Rattus norvegicus: one gene and its partners. The protein of the gene in region 2 interacts with the protein of the main gene of each other region in a pairwise test. Links are inferred from orthologs where the notes say so. Each region holds a gene or a part of one and is shown on either strand. Other genes may lie near its edges.

Region 1 (5,272 bases), on a different chromosome or scaffold from region 2:
CCCTCCTGCATCTCCCTTTCTCAGGCCCTTCCACCATCTCCGTCCTTCCCCACCTTGGCTCTACTGGCCTCCCTCTATCATTCCCAGTTCATTCCCACTCCAGAGCCTTGACACTAGCTGTGCTCACCCTAAACATTTGTCCCACATAAGCAATGACTCCTTGTCTGCGCCCACCTTTCCCAAGCTTCCAGTCACTGCCCTTCCTTACTCAGCCTTTCTACAGTCATACATCACTGGTTGACATTTTCTTGTATGTCTTTTTATCTACTGTCACACACACACACTACACACACATGCACACCACACACACACACACACACACACACACACACACACACACACACACACACACACACACACTGAATGTGGATCCCCTGAGAACAGGGGTACTGTCTCTCTCTGTTGCTTTCCCATCATACGCCCACTTAGAACATGCCAGGAAATATACACATACATATTAGATATTGACTACATGAACAGATCCTAGGGCCAAAATGAACTCAAACTGCGTGTGGAATATGTCTGCCTACCTGTGATGTGTGTGACCTGAACCTCATCGCTCTTGACCGACCAAAGTTCCATGAGAAAGTAAACTGGGGTACAGGCCTAGTCTCACTGGCAGAGGCTGGTTTCCTCAGTTGGGGGACAGAGAATAATGCCAAACGACAGAATGGCCCAAGGCTCGAGCAGTAGCTAGTTCAGAGGTGCAGAGAAGGCCTTTGATCTACAAGCACCTAGATTGGCTTTGGGGTTCTGCCCAAGCCCACAGCTTCTCTTTGCGCACACTCTCATTGTGGCCAGGCACAGGCATGCACATTGGGGCTCTGCCTTTAGCACATGACAGTTCTCTGAAGGCTGCTTTAATGAACACCATCTCATTGAGGTCACGCGCAGCCAACACACACAGGAAAGCCAAAGTACAGAAGGGACTAGGATCAGAGTGGGCTAGGTACAAATCTATCCGCTGCCCTTTTCCTGGACTACATCCTGCTGGTTCTTCTGTGGAAATTAATTGTGTGAAGTTTGTTTGTTTGTTTGTTTGTTTGTTTGTTTGAGATAGGGTTTCTCTGTGTAGTCCTGGCTATCCTGGAACTCTCTCTCTCTGTAGACCATGCTGGCCTTGAACACAGAGATCTACCTCCTTCTGCCTCCCAAATGCTCTGGCTGTCCATGTGCCCAACACATTTGTAGATGACCACTTCACTTCACAATGTTTCTTACACCTAAGCCTGCAGGGCTGCCAAGAACTGTCTGGGTATAGTTCTCTCCCTGCTAGTATCCAAGAGCCAAGTTCTAAAGAATCCCTCACTGCAGCAGGAAGCGTGGTTCCCCTCCCCTCCTTTGGGGAAGTGCTGGAATTCCCTCCCATACAAACAAGGGAAATTCCTCCTCAGAAGCCAGGAGCCGCCTTGTTCAGAACAAAGCTTGGTGTGAGTCATATTCCTCATCAATCTGACAACACGGGTATTTATTGGTGCCTCTCAATCAGGGTGGCTTGGACATGGTGTTCTGAGTCTCGGACACGGCCACTCACCAAGTAAAATAACGGTTTCTATAGCAACAGTTCTTTTTCATTGCTATCAGAATAAATGGGAATGCAAAACTGCCTCCCATCTTGGGGGTTTAAGGCCCGCCCTTTGGGGGTGGCTGCCTCAGCCATCTGGGACTGGCTTAGCACTCCCTAAGTCTGAAACCTGCAGAGGACCTCGCAGCCCAGACACTGCCAAGGAGCTCACAGCCCCGGACCTGTAGAGAAGTAAGACTCTGATCTATTCTGCTTCACATCTGTTAGGCTGAGTGTGTTCTAGGAGAAGGTGGTGGGAAGGAGATGACCTAAGAGCATCGGAGCAAGCTGTCCCAGCAACTAAGCCCTTCAAAATGTAGGTACTGGGACCCTGCCTTACTGAGGTGAGAAGAGGCAGGGATGTGAAGTGGGGGTGGGAGATAGAGGGTTAAGTAGGCTCTCAGTTACAACCCGGCAGTCTGGTTGACCTTTTACTTCTAAACACTGAGAGGAATTTAACATCTGCTACAGCCTCTCTTAAATCCATCATCACACAGTAGGGGTATGTAGGGTCAGCAAGGAGGGTTCACTTAATAGAGGACAGATAGACACAATCGGCAGATAGTCCAGGTTCTATATGCAATGAGAAAAGCACAGAACTTGGATTTGGGTACCAAAGCTCAGCTCGGATTCTGGCTACCTCACACACTGGCTATGTGATCTGGAGAAATCAGACGACGTCTCTGAGGTCTGTTCCTAAGAAGGGGTTGCCCACCTTCTCAGTTTATTGAGAGTTTTGAGTCGGAAACTAGACGAATAGCTCATTACTCAGCCTGTACTGAGAATGCAGGCTATGGGTGATTCCCGCCTTGCCGATGGACTTGGCTTCATCACGTGGTACACGGCCAGTCTGGGACTAGAGAAATCAGGGATCCAGGGATCAGGGGATTGCCTGTCACTAGGAAGCTGCTATTAGTGGGATGGGCTCTAAATTTGAAACAGTCCTCCCACACACATGGGTTTCTGGGTGCTTGGGTCCTGATGGCTTCCTCACTGTGAAGTCTGGCAACCCCTGCTGTGATTTTTCCCTGAGCCAGCTGCCAGGTGCAACAGCTGTCATCAGATCACAAGGATAGCAGTATGGGACATCCACTCACGCTGCTTCCTGCTCAACAGCAGGGCACAATCCCCAGCCTTGCTATGGACCCTATAGGCCTCACCCTTCAAATCCAACCTTTCTTTTCTCTGGTGAAACGGATCCAGGGGACCAAGACCTGAAGTAGTCTGGAGCCTTCTTGCCTAAATGGATAGGTGGCTCCAAGACGAAGAAGATTGACCTGAGTCTGCAGGGAGACCTAGAGCTGTTGCCAAATGCGTTCTTAGGTTACTGGCCAGCCATTGAGCTACAAATGCATACCACCCACAGGGAGGAGAGAGCAAGCAGGACATGTGGCAGCCAGCTTGTCATTTTTCTGAATGTTTCTCCTTCTCTTGCCAGTGCTTCTCAAAGCCCCCCTGCTGATGCTGAACCAGAAAGGTTTAGAGGAACTGGGGGTTGAAACCTGGCCACAGGCCTGACAGGAAAAAGCTGCTTCAAGCAGCAGGGCAGTGCTTGCGTTTCTCACTGTCTGGTTCTCTGGCCATCATGTTCTCAGCCTTCCTCTTCACAGGGGTTTATTGAGTATACAGAGAGAGAGAGAGCAAAGGGCTGTAAATTGGTTCTGTTGAGTCAAAAACATGCCATTCCTAGGAGACAGTTCTATGGTAGAAAGAGTACTAGGTTTGGAGTCCAACAATCCTGGCTTTGCTAAGTACTTGGCGTGTACCTTAGCTTGATAAGCCCTGATTTCTTCAACTACAAAATGAGTTGCCTTCAAGATAATCATGAGAGTCAGACCAAGTCCCGTGCTCACTCCAAAACATGCAGGACAAGAAAGAGGTTCACAGTCTGCCTACTCAGCCAGGTAGTCTACAAACTACAGTGTGCACACCACAAGGTCTCACATTCTAATGACCTGAGGGGACGGGAGGTGGCCATGATCTCCACTGGTCAGAGGCTGAGAGCGCAGGAGCTGTTTGCTTGAGGCCACACAAGCTAAGATCATGTGTTACATTGTTTCTTTTGCTTTAATCCCTGAACACTTTGTGGACCCAGTGTCATGTGTTGTAACTGATAGACCAGAAACACAATAAGAACATTGAAGATAGAGGGAATGCAGTCAGAAAGTGACAAGAAGACCATAAGGATTCAGCCCAGTTGGTCAAGAACTTACCCAGCATGCACAAAGCCCTGAGATGGATCGATGATACCCCATAAATGGGACATGGTGGCTATGCCTATAGTGTTAGCCCTTGGGAGGTGGAAGCAGGCCAATCAAGAGTTCAAGGTCACCCTTGGCTATGTAACAAGTTTGAGGCCAACTGGGGATATGTGAAACCCTCCTAAAAAGGGGAGGGGGATGAAAGGATCTTGTGCAGTAACCAGGTTCCTGCAGCTGTTCTCAGTGTAAACTTCACCCTGTAGCAAGAGTATCATTCTCCTCCGGCTCTCTCCTCACTGCCCAGGAAAGACCAGGGATTGCTATCGAAGCTACTGTTCCCACCAGTCTGTGCACACCCAGAACCAGACTCAGTCTTTAGGAAGGAACCCTGGGACCTTTTGGGTTACCAACAGAACCTGTGAAGAATGAGAGGCCCCGGTCTCTCTTCTGTATTCTTATCCCTGTGACCCTTCGACCCTCTTAGAGACATACAGACCACTCATTTAGCCAAAACCTTCTGGTCCCAGAGCTCTGTGCCCAACAGAACCTCCTCAGTCACCATGATTCTCTGTAGGATTGAGTAGGGGGCCTACTTCTGTCCTTCTGCTCTGTCACAGGGCTCAGGCTGCTCTGGGAGGCAGGATTCGGGAAGTTTGACCCGTCAGGTGGGTGTTAGACTGTGGGAAGCTGCGGGACACTGCTCCAGGGTAGGGAAGCACCGTCTGAGGACAGGACGCTGCAGCCTTCAGTTCTTAGGCTCTTGGGCATCCAGGCACCGCTGGGATGCTGCAGAAACAGAGTGGGGGCCGATCTAGCCAGGGGCAGAGGGGGAAAAGGAGGGGGGATGCTCCAACTGGTCCTGCTGGGAAGTCTTTGGCTGTCCTGGGTATCAGGCTTGGGCTTGGTAGAGGGCTGAAGCTGGGAGGGCAGGAAAGTCTTCTATGGGAGATTAGGTGACTGGCTCTGTAGGCGAAGGGATTCTCAATGGCTTGCCACCGTGGATCCCATAAGAAGAGGTAGTCCATGGTTTCAAGGCATTTATTGTGATGGTGGATAGGGAATGAGAAAAATTGTACTCCACTTCTCAGAGTGGGCCTGGGATTAAATATCTTTTTCAGGGAAGAGTTTCTGGAAGGAAAGTTCATTGGCTAAGTCTCCAGACCTTTAGGTATCTCATTATAATGGAGATCTGTCTTGAGCCTACTTGACCTATGGTCATGTCCTCTACCTGTGAAGGAGCTTGGGGTGTTTCCCTTATGTGACAGATGGTCACAGATCTATGAAGGGCTGCGGGCCAGTGACCAGCCTGGTTTCCTGGGAGTCAGGCAAAGCGCCTACTGGCCCTTTCAGGGTCTCCAGGGTTCAAATCTCCTCAACTGAGAACCAGGGTGTCTTTCACTGTCCCACAGTTCTCTAGAGGAGGATGTCTGGGTTAAAGACCTAAGAAGAATGCCCTCAACCAGACCTGCTTGTAGTGACTGGCCAGCCACAGCCAGCTAGAGTTACT
Region 2 (4,584 bases):
TAAGGACTTCAAAGGCTGAGATGAGAAGATCATAATTTAGTACTAGCTTTGAAAAGATAGGCAATCGTCTCAAAACAGAACAGAGCCCTAGCTGGTTCTGCTAAGAATCCTCGTCAGCCTGTGGGCGTGGCTCAGGGTAGAGTGACAGCGTAGAATACTCCAATGAGGGGCTAGGGGCGTGGCTCAGCGCTTAGCTTTCAGAGGCTTCTCACAATAACAAAAATGAGTTCTCCTGAGTGTGGTGGTGCACACTTGAAATCCCAGCTGCTTGCGAGGCTGAGGTGGGAGACGGCTTGAGTTGGGGCAGTATAAATGACTCCGGGAAACAGTCTCCTAAAAAGTTAGAAAGGAATAAAGTGGAGGGCTAGAGAGTTGGCTCTTCGGTCTAGAGCACTGGCTGCTCTTCCAGAAGATCCAGGTTTGATTCCAAGCATCCATGTGGCAACTCTCTGTAACTCCAGTTCCCAAGGGACCTGACACCTCATACAGACATACAGGGAAAACGCCGATGCAAGTAAAATAATAAAAATAAATCCTAAAAAAATAAAATAAACTCTGCCTCCCCCATCACCCTGCCAGTAGGTGCACTCCCCTGGTTAGGCCTTGAGTGTTGAGAGCTCTGTGGCAGCTGGGAACCGTCCCAGGCCACATTGACGGGGGTTCCGGTTGCTGTAGAGAATTGGTTGAATATGTGAAGTCAAGGCCTGATCCCCTGTCACCGACAGGTACAGGAGCTGGAGGATTCCCTGATGCAGCTGGAGGCCTCCCCGCCTCCCTCCATGCTCAGAGCAGGCCGTAGAAACAGCAACTCCAGCAGTTCTGGGGCAGAAAGGAGACCCTGGGCACCTCAGGTAAGAATAAAGCCTTCTGAGTGAATGTCATGATGATCCCTGCTTTCCCAGTGTGAGGGGCAAATATCAATTTGTGCTTTATGGGATCCCATAATAAAAGACAAAACTTTTCCTGGGGAGACACTACACACATCAACTGACCACAGATAGGGAGCCCATGACACATCAAATACGGACACCACTAAAGTTCAACTTAGTGAACCAATGAGTTTTATTGGAGTTACAAATAGGATTATGGGTACACATTATGGGTATGAATATGGGTACATATAGGATTGTAGTTATGTACATGTTGATGGACAGAAATGATTCAAAGACAGCTGCATCACCAGAGTCTGAGTGACAGCATGAGTGACAACTCACTAAAACTGGGAACCTGGAGCTCACTGCAGGTTGGAAGTTGTCCCTTCTTAGTGACTCTGGTCTAAACCTCCTTCACACAGCTGGTCTTATCTCAGGGTCTTCTTTGCTTGCTTCTTTGTTCACTAATCTCAAAGGGACTTTCCTTATTTTGGCAGGGAGGGGCCTAGTCCAGTTTCTGCTCAGTTTCAGGGACTTCCTGAAACTATTTGGAGTTGTTTACCGTCCTGCTTCAGGAGCTTCTCTGTCAATACAACCTATAATATATGAAAAGAACTAAATAGGACTTGGAGCCATGGCTCAATGGTTAGGGTCCTAGCTGCTTTTATCGAATACGCAGGTTCAATTCTCTGTAGCCACATGGCAGCTCACAATCATCTGTAACTCTTGTTCTAGGAGATCTGATGCCTTCTTCAGGGCTCCACAGGCACTAGGCATGCATGTGCACAGACAGACGTGAAGGCAAACACCCATATACATAAAATTAAAAGAAAAAATAAAAAGCTTAAATTACCAGCTTGGTAGCTCAAAGCAGTCACCCCACAGTCACCCCAATTGCTTAAGAGCCTGACCAGAAGGATCATGACCAGTAAATGTGGTGACACCCTGTCTCCATATTAAAGAAAAAATAAAATCATTGATGAGATGCCTCAGCTTCTTGGGGCAACTGTTGCCAAGTCTGCTGATACAGGTTCAACCCCTGGGTCCCACAAAGTGAAAGGAGAGAACTGACTCCCATATGTTGTCCTCTGACATCCATTCACATGCCATGGTACACACACACACACACACACACACACACACAGGCATGCACGCATGCATAATACATTCCACATGTGTATGCAAATACCCTCCCCAAAACAAACCAAAGATGTTGTTGTACCTCAGTGGTGAAACAGATTGGTAATATGATCCAAGGCCCTGATTCCACCCCCAGCCCTGCAAAAAAGGGGAGAAAAACACTTCTGGGGCTTTTGATGTTAGATAAATCAAGTCATGTCTTCCTGGCAGGACTCCCCCATGGCTCACCCCTTTCTCCAACGCCTTCGGAGTGACTCCAGCACCCAGAGCTTTGGGTGCCTTTCCACACAGCGTCCATCCCCAGAGATGTACCTCATGGAAGACCAGATGGGACAGCTCCAGGGGTGAGCAGCTGAATTATAGCTGCTGAGCTTTTAAGGACACAATTTCTCCTGCCACTGGGTTGTGATTGGGAAGGGGAGAAAACAGCTCTGGGTGATTGGAGTGTCACTCACCTTCCCTGTTGCCCACCTTTGGAGGCAGGAACATTGAGAAGTTGAAGTGCTTCAACCGCCTCCTGCTGGCTGTGCTCCAGGGCTACAAGGGCCGCTGTGAGAGCCTCAGCATTAAGCTGGGCAAGAGAGAGGCTGAGGCCACAGCCCTGCACCTGGCTCTACAATATAGGTCTGTGCCTGTTTCCAGTGATGGTGGTTGCTGGGGCTGGGGTGGTGCTGCATGCCAGGATGCCTTATGTACAGAGGGACACAGGACCTTCAGACATTGCCTCACAATGACATGTTACTCTGACCCATAAAGAATGAGGGGTGGGAGGTGTCTTTTGTAGTTTGTTATATATTTATTTGAGACAGGGTTTCACTGTGTAGCCCAGGCTGGCCTGGAACTCTCTATGTACAGCAGGCTGGCCTGGAACTCACAGAGATCTGCCTATCTCTGCCTGGGTTGGGGTTGAATGTTGAAACATTTAGATCCTATCCCACAGCAAGGACTGTGAGGAGGTGTATGAGGTGCTGCTTGCTCTGAAGACAGCTGGTCTAGGAGCTGGAGTTGGAGCTACCAATGGCGACCTGCAGGCTGCTGAGAAGGAGGCCTCTAGGCTGCTGGTGAAGAAGGAAGTAGCCATGGATGTAAAGACACCCCAGCCCAGGTACCCACAGGAAGCACAAGAGTTGCTGGTCCATGAGAGTGATGGGGGGCATGTCCCAAAGCCTGCTGTACATGGGGCATTGGGGTTAGGATCATCATTCACTGCTCAGGGTTGGCTCTGCACTCATCATGTTTGGCTGATACAACGCCTGACTGGAGTCGGTTACTCAGTGGCACCAGGTGTGGTGACAGTCTTTGATCTCAGCACTCAGGAGACAGAGTTAGAGTAGTTCCAGGCTAGCCCACACAGAGTGATCCTGTCTGAAATGAATACAAAAGCAAACACACACATACACAAAGCATCAAGTAATGTAGACCCTAGCTTCAGCCTCTAAAACTGGGTAAAAAAAAATACAGGGGTTGGGGATTTAGCTCAGTGGTAGAGAGCTCGCCTAGCAAGTGCAAGGCCCTGGGTTCGGTCCCCAGCTCCGAAAAAAAGAAGAGAAAAAAATACAGTGAAGAGAAATTTATTAGGTTTATTAGCTCATGATTTCAGAGGTGTCAATCCATCATTGCAGCCAGGAAGTAAAGAGGAGGGGTACAGGAAGTAGACAGGATTTCACATAGCCCCAGAGAAAGATGGCACTCTTGACAAGTTGTGTGAACCTGGGAAGGTTATCAGTATACTTGTAAGGAACGTCTATACTAATGGCTGTGAGCTCCTGACTTAGTCTCTGTGCAGAGAGTCCTCAGTGCCAGTGCAGCCTTGGTGCCCAGTTTGAGCTGCGCACACCTCACAAGTAAATTCAAATTCCTCTAGTGGCATTATTACCATCAAGGCTCACCACCTTGCTACGTATCTGAATGTGGCCTTGAACTCCTCCTGCCTCCATCTCCTAAGAGCTGGGCTATTAATATGGTGCCAGGCATGGACCTTCACGCATGCTAGGCAAGTTCTGAGGACTGAGCTGCAAGCACTCTACTGGCTGAGCCCCAGCATCTACCATACTAGAATGCTGGAAGATTATCGGCTGGGTGTAGGTCGTGCTGTGGATGCTGTTGGTAGGCCTCAGGTAGCATAAAAGTGTGGTTCCTTAGGGCTGTGTGTTGGGAACAGCTGGCCTGCCCCCTGTCTCTTATAGTCCAGAGGGCAGTAGTGTGGACAAGCCTACACCAGAGGAACTGGCTGCTCAGCTCCACGGCTATGTCCAGCATCTCCGAGAACGCTGGGCTCTGCTGAAGATCCCCCCAGTACTTGATCCTGCCACTGCACCCAAGCCCACTATGCCCCATGCAGAAGCAACAGTGCAGACCATTCTGGAGATACAGCCCGGGCCCACCTTGCCTCAGCTGGAGAAGTCTCAGATCCAGCAGGACCTAGCGGCTACTCGGGTAGGAATGTGCTGAGATAGTCACAACACATCCTCGATGATGTCATTGGAGCCCAGGGGCAAGCAGGGTCTCCCTTAGGTGGGGAGCTGATCTCTTGTATGAAGGGGAGTTGAAGGTGAGGTTTTAAGGAGTGCAT
Region 3 (5,074 bases), on a different chromosome or scaffold from region 2:
TAGTCAGGAACACAGAGATGGTTTTCCTTATGTTTCAGACCCTTTCACCTTCTACATGATGGCGGATTATAGGACCTATCGGCGTCCTGATGCTGACTATCAAGGGCAAATACACTGCTACCGCTTACTGAGTGTTAGGCAGTCCCCTTCTGGGGAGACCTGGCAGACACCACTTCCACTAGAGAGGGCAGTGAGGTCAGACTGAAGGAACAGTCCCATCAAAGTCTCCTTGGTGAACCGATGAGTCGACCAGGGTTGGTTATCAGTCAGGATTCACTCACAGGGCCATCAAAAGCTCAAAGGCAGCTAGGTCACTGAAAACCGGAATCCAGCTAAGTGACCACTCACAAAGTCTGCATCCCTGGAGCTTCCAGCACAACTTGCAGGCAGCTCCACTGAAGAGTCTCTGTTGCCCCAGCAACCCCTTAGGTCACTCACTACCTTGAAGAGGGCCCTCGGGAATCTTCTGGATCTCACAACCCTCCCTCTAATGCTTCAGTTCAGAGTAAATGGCTACACAGTAACAGGGAATGATCAGAATCTAGGGTTACCTCATCACGTTTAGTGTATTAATTCAAGAATCTTTTGATTACCAGTTTGATAAATTCCACTCGGGTTGGATATGGCAAGATATGAACTTCATGGGAAGGCATCAAAACTAGAAACTCAGGAAGCAGAGGCTGGGGCATTAGCCAGCCATGTGTCTTCGTCTCCGTTCCTGGGTGTCCGCTCCAGCGCCGCACATTTTCCCCTATTACACAGGCTTCTTCCAGGTGTCAGGAAATGTGATACTGCAGCCATAGTCTGAAATCCTCCTGTCTAAAGGAAGAACTGTGACTTACCTGGAGTGGGATTCCATTCTTAGTTACACACGCACACACAGAGACACTAACACATATACATAAATAAAAAATAAAATCTTTAAAACTGGCTGCAGGTGATGGAGCGCGCCTTTAATCCCAGCCCTTGGGAGGCAGAGGCAGGCGGATCTCACTGTGCGTTGGAGGCCAACTTGTTCTACGTAGTGCTTTCCAGGACAGCCAGGGTTTCATAATGAGACTCTGTCTCAAAACAACAAACAAAACAATAACATCCGCATAGCTGTCACTAAGTGCGTTTCATCAAATAGGTATAGTACAGTGAAGGGACTTAAAAACAAACAAACAAAACAGGTCTAGGAGTCAGCAAGGATCCTAAAAGTAAATGGGGATGAACAGTTCAGCAGAAAACGTGACGAGCTGGAGCAGGGAAAGGACCGCAGCGAGTGCTGCAGCAGGATGGGACGTGCACCGCGGCCTCGCCAATTTCCTAGCCACTGAGAAACCCAGGAAGGAGTTATTTCGTCGCTATGTCTACAGCAGGAAAAACGATGGATCGGTGGCGCCTAGCCAGAGTGGTTAGGAGATGACACCGGACCTAGAAGGCTCTCGGGTCAAGCCGCGGGAGGAGGCAGTTCCTGCGCGGAGAACCGAACCGGCCCACGTGAGTCAGGCCGCCCCGCCCAGCCGCGCAGACGCCGCTGGACTCCGCAGTCCGGGCTGGGGCTGGGACGGCTGTGCCAGGACCAGGCAGCCGCGCCACCGCGCGTGCACGCGCAGGTCCAGGACCCACCCCCAGCCTCTACAGCGAGCAGGCCCCGAGGAACCATAGCAAACCCCGCAGGAGCGGGCGCCTCTAGGCCGTGAGTCCGGGCCCTGATGGAGTGCTTGGGGCCCAGCCGCCTGAGGGTGGATTGGGGAGCTGCCTCTGCAGAGATCAGGGTCACTGTGCTCTCTGTCCCCTGTGAGGCTGCCAATCCCCGTGCTACAGTCCCCTCCCTTACCCCTACACTATAGATTAGCTGGGAGGAGAGGGGGATCCTGATCTTGGGATGTCTGGATTCATTTCACTGACTTTTTGAGCCTGGATGCTTAACCCCACTGTCACCCCACCCCACCCCAACTTTCTTTGTAAGCCTGGCCAAATTTAGGAAATTTTTTTTTTTTATTCTTTTTTTCGGAGCTGGGGACCGAACCCAGGGCCTTGCGCTTCCTAGGTAAGCGCTCTACCACTGAGCTAAATCCCCAGCCCCTAGGAAATTTTTAAAATAGAGTATGTATGTGTGTATGGGGCGGGGGGGGATTGGGGGTGTCTTCAGGCCTTTTCTTACAAGCCAAAGGGGTGGAAACATCTGTCCCAACCTCAGTCTCCATGACTTCTGCCTATTGCTGGGTGTGGGGAGGCTCCCTGCCACCTATAGGGGAACCTTCCTAGTGGCTGCTTGATTGACTTAATGGTATGTTTCACTCATGAGGCCTCAGTTCTTCCTTCTGGTCATAGACGTGTGGTCAATGGAACGTCTTGTCAGTTCATACTCAAAAGCGATTATTAGGGAAGAGAGAGAGGGAGAAAATCAGCATGGAGCAAACTGAGTCCCATGAACATGTACCAGGAGCACTAGAGGGGAAGGGACAGACTTGCAAGAGAGGCTTGTCATTGTGGGTTCAGGAGACAGGGGTTCCTTAGTGTGGAGGAGGAGAAAGAGACCAGCGCTTCAAGCCCTGGGTCTCTGCTGTAGCCGCCTTCTGGCATTATTACTGTCTTCCTAAGAACAGGAGCCCCACGGTAGCCCCTTAGTCACTCTCTGCAGGTAATTACTGATACCTGCTATGGCTGGCTGGGTTTGCTCTAGAGCAGAGGTTCTCAACCTTCCTAACACTGCGACCCTTTAAGACAGCTCCTCATACTGTGGTGACCCCCAAGTAGTAACTTGTTGCTACTTCCTTTTTGTTTGTTTGTGTTTGTTTTTGTTTTTCCGGACAGGGTTTCTCTCTGTAGCTCTGGCTGTCCTGGAACTCGCTCTCTCTGTAGACCAGCCTGGTGGTAGAACTCATGAGATCCACTTGCCTCTGGGCTCAAGCACTGGGATTAAAGGCGTACATCACCACCGCCCAGCTTCTGTTCCTACTTAGTAACTGTAATTTTGCTACTGTTATAAATCGTCATGGAAATGTGGTTCTCTTATGGAATATATCTGTCCATATCTATACATCTACATACATGTAGACATATGTTCCTTTTGAAAGTATAATTTGTTATTTAGCTGAACGTCTTTTTAAAAAACATTAGCATATCTGTGTATGCACACGTGCATGTGGGTGAACAAATTGGCCAGAAGACGAGGTTGGGATGAAGCTAGCCATACAGGCAGTTGTGAACCACCTGACTTGGGTGCTAGGAATGGGACATAGATCCTCTGGAAGAGCAGCCAGTCCATTTAACTGCTGAGCCTTCTCTCCAACCCAAGTTTGTATTTTTAGTTGGAGGAGGGTCAGTGGAATGGCTGTGACAATCACTTGGGTCAAAATGACCAGAGCTAAAGGAGAGTTTGACAAGATGTGGACAGTGAGGTGGCCATGGGAGGAGGGTGAGTAGTCCAGGTCCTCCTAGGCATCTGGGTGGCTAGACTCAGCAGAGTGTCCTGCCAGAGGACGCTGCAAGGAGAGCTGTCTGGATGTGTAGAATTTGAAGAACCGGCGGTAGGTCACAAGGTTGAGTAGGGGTTGAATCTGGGCTGGACACGGATCTGAGAGTTGCTTACACATGATGGTTCTCGAAGCTGTAACAGGATGAAGTGACCTGGGGAGAAGTTTGTAGAATGACGAGATGGGCAGCCTTAAAGGGAAACCCCGCTCTGTGAAAGCCACGAGGAGGTTACTGGGCTCAAGGTTGTCATTCCATCCTCTCCTGCTGTGACTCATTCTTCTGCTTCTCCTTCACAGTCCAGATGTTTGCTGCTATCCAGCCAGGACTAGCAGAGGGGGCCCAGTACCTGGGGAGCCTGCCTCCTGGAGTATGTCACCCGGACCTCCAACCAGACAGTAATTCCAACTTCGTGGAGAGCGCTAAGGATGCTAATAAGAACTGGCATGGTGTGGATCCTATTCTGATAAGAAGCTCCTCTGAGTCGCCCTCTGATAACCGGGTCTTCCAAGCCACTGGGCTCCCTGAGGCCGGAGTCCGCAGTCCCCCGGAGGGTGCAGAGATCCCTGGTGCTGAGCCAGAGAAGTCGAGTGATGCCAGCAGCGTCTGCTCTCCTCTGGAGGACATCGGCTATGCCAGCAGTTCCTTGAGCATCAGCAGCTTTAGCAGCAGTGCAGAAGCTGGCTGTAGCACCCCTCGAGGTCCAAGCCCCCTGGATCCCCTTCTGCCCTCTGTGGCCCAGGCCGTGCAGCAGCTGCAGGCTCAGGAGCGCTACAAGGAACAGGAGAAGGAGAAACACCATGTGCATTTGGTGATGTACCGTCGCTTGGCGCTGCTCCAGTGGATCCGGGCTCTACAGCACCAGTTGGTTGACCAGCAGGCCCGACTGCAGGAGAGCTTTGACACCATCCTAGACAACCGGAAGGAACTTATCCGCTGTCTGCAACACAGGGAAGGACCTTGCAGGCACCAGGACCAGGGCTGAGGGTGGGCACAAGTATGTTGGCAGGCTTCTGTGTGGTTATGCACAAGTAAGTATGTATTAGTTGGCATGTGTGTAAGTCAGCATAAGTGAATATATATATATGCTAACATGTAAGCAGGTATGTAAGGCATGTGTGAACGAACTTGTGTGTGTGTTACATGTTGCATGTGTGTTTATGTGTGCATATGTGGCTAGGTACTCAGGAATGTGTATATATATATCTATTCCCAAATGTAGAGGCAAAAGATAGGTATGCATGTGTTATCAGTTTAAACGTGCAGGCTTGTGTTGGGGTGTGAGTGACCCTCTGTGTGTTGAGATTTACACGTTCCAGTTCTGGCCTAAGAAGCACGTGCTAGGAACGTGTGTATTTGCAGAGACTTAAGAGCAGGTGTGTGTAAATAGACGTTCAATCGCACCTGCAGGGCATCCATCCATCCTGTGTTCCCAAAGTCTACCCCAGCCTTATCCGCTACTGAGTCTCACAGCTTCCTGGAGAGAAGCCTACGTCGCTGTCACTTATCTGAGGGCTTTGGGTGATCTGTTCTCCTAGTGTTTCCCAGGCTCTCTTCCCTGTCCCTTCCCCTCAGGCCTTGCTCTAAGACAGCTGTCCCTAATGTTGGCTTT

Evidence for each region.
Region 1: the proteins of Ushbp1 (region 2) and Fam107a interact in binary tests that used the Homo sapiens proteins (3 or more experiments, as listed by UniProt). The two-hybrid records come from large-scale screens. The link is inferred for Rattus norvegicus from reciprocal best matches to the Homo sapiens genes USHBP1 and FAM107A.
Region 3: the proteins of Ushbp1 (region 2) and C5h1orf216 interact in binary tests that used the Homo sapiens proteins (3 or more experiments, as listed by UniProt). The two-hybrid records come from large-scale screens. The link is inferred for Rattus norvegicus from reciprocal best matches to the Homo sapiens genes USHBP1 and C1orf216.

The regions. Positions count from the first base shown.
Region 1 is NC_086033.1:19,044,874-19,050,145, forward strand, and holds the start of Fam107a (actin-associated protein FAM107A), read left to right. Parts: upstream 1-1,707; 5' UTR 1,708-1,756; exon of another isoform or gene 1,757-1,908; intron 1,909-5,272. UniProt on the Homo sapiens protein: Stress-inducible actin-binding protein that plays a role in synaptic and cognitive functions by modulating actin filamentous (F-actin) dynamics. Mediates polymerization of globular actin to F-actin. Also binds to, stabilizes and bundles F-actin.
Region 2 is NC_086034.1:18,094,686-18,099,269, reverse strand, and holds part of Ushbp1 (harmonin-binding protein USHBP1), read left to right. Parts: intron 1-725; coding exon 726-851; intron 852-2,222; coding exon 2,223-2,356; intron 2,357-2,495; coding exon 2,496-2,636; intron 2,637-2,952; coding exon 2,953-3,117; intron 3,118-4,198; coding exon 4,199-4,448; intron 4,449-4,584.
Region 3 is NC_086023.1:144,183,572-144,188,645, forward strand, and holds the start of C5h1orf216 (UPF0500 protein C1orf216 homolog), read left to right. Parts: upstream 1-1,509; 5' UTR 1,510-1,681; intron 1,682-2,146; exon of another isoform or gene 2,147-2,871; coding exon of another isoform or gene 2,872-2,956; intron 2,957-3,761; coding exon of another isoform or gene 3,762-3,766; coding exon 3,767-4,447; 3' UTR 4,448-5,074.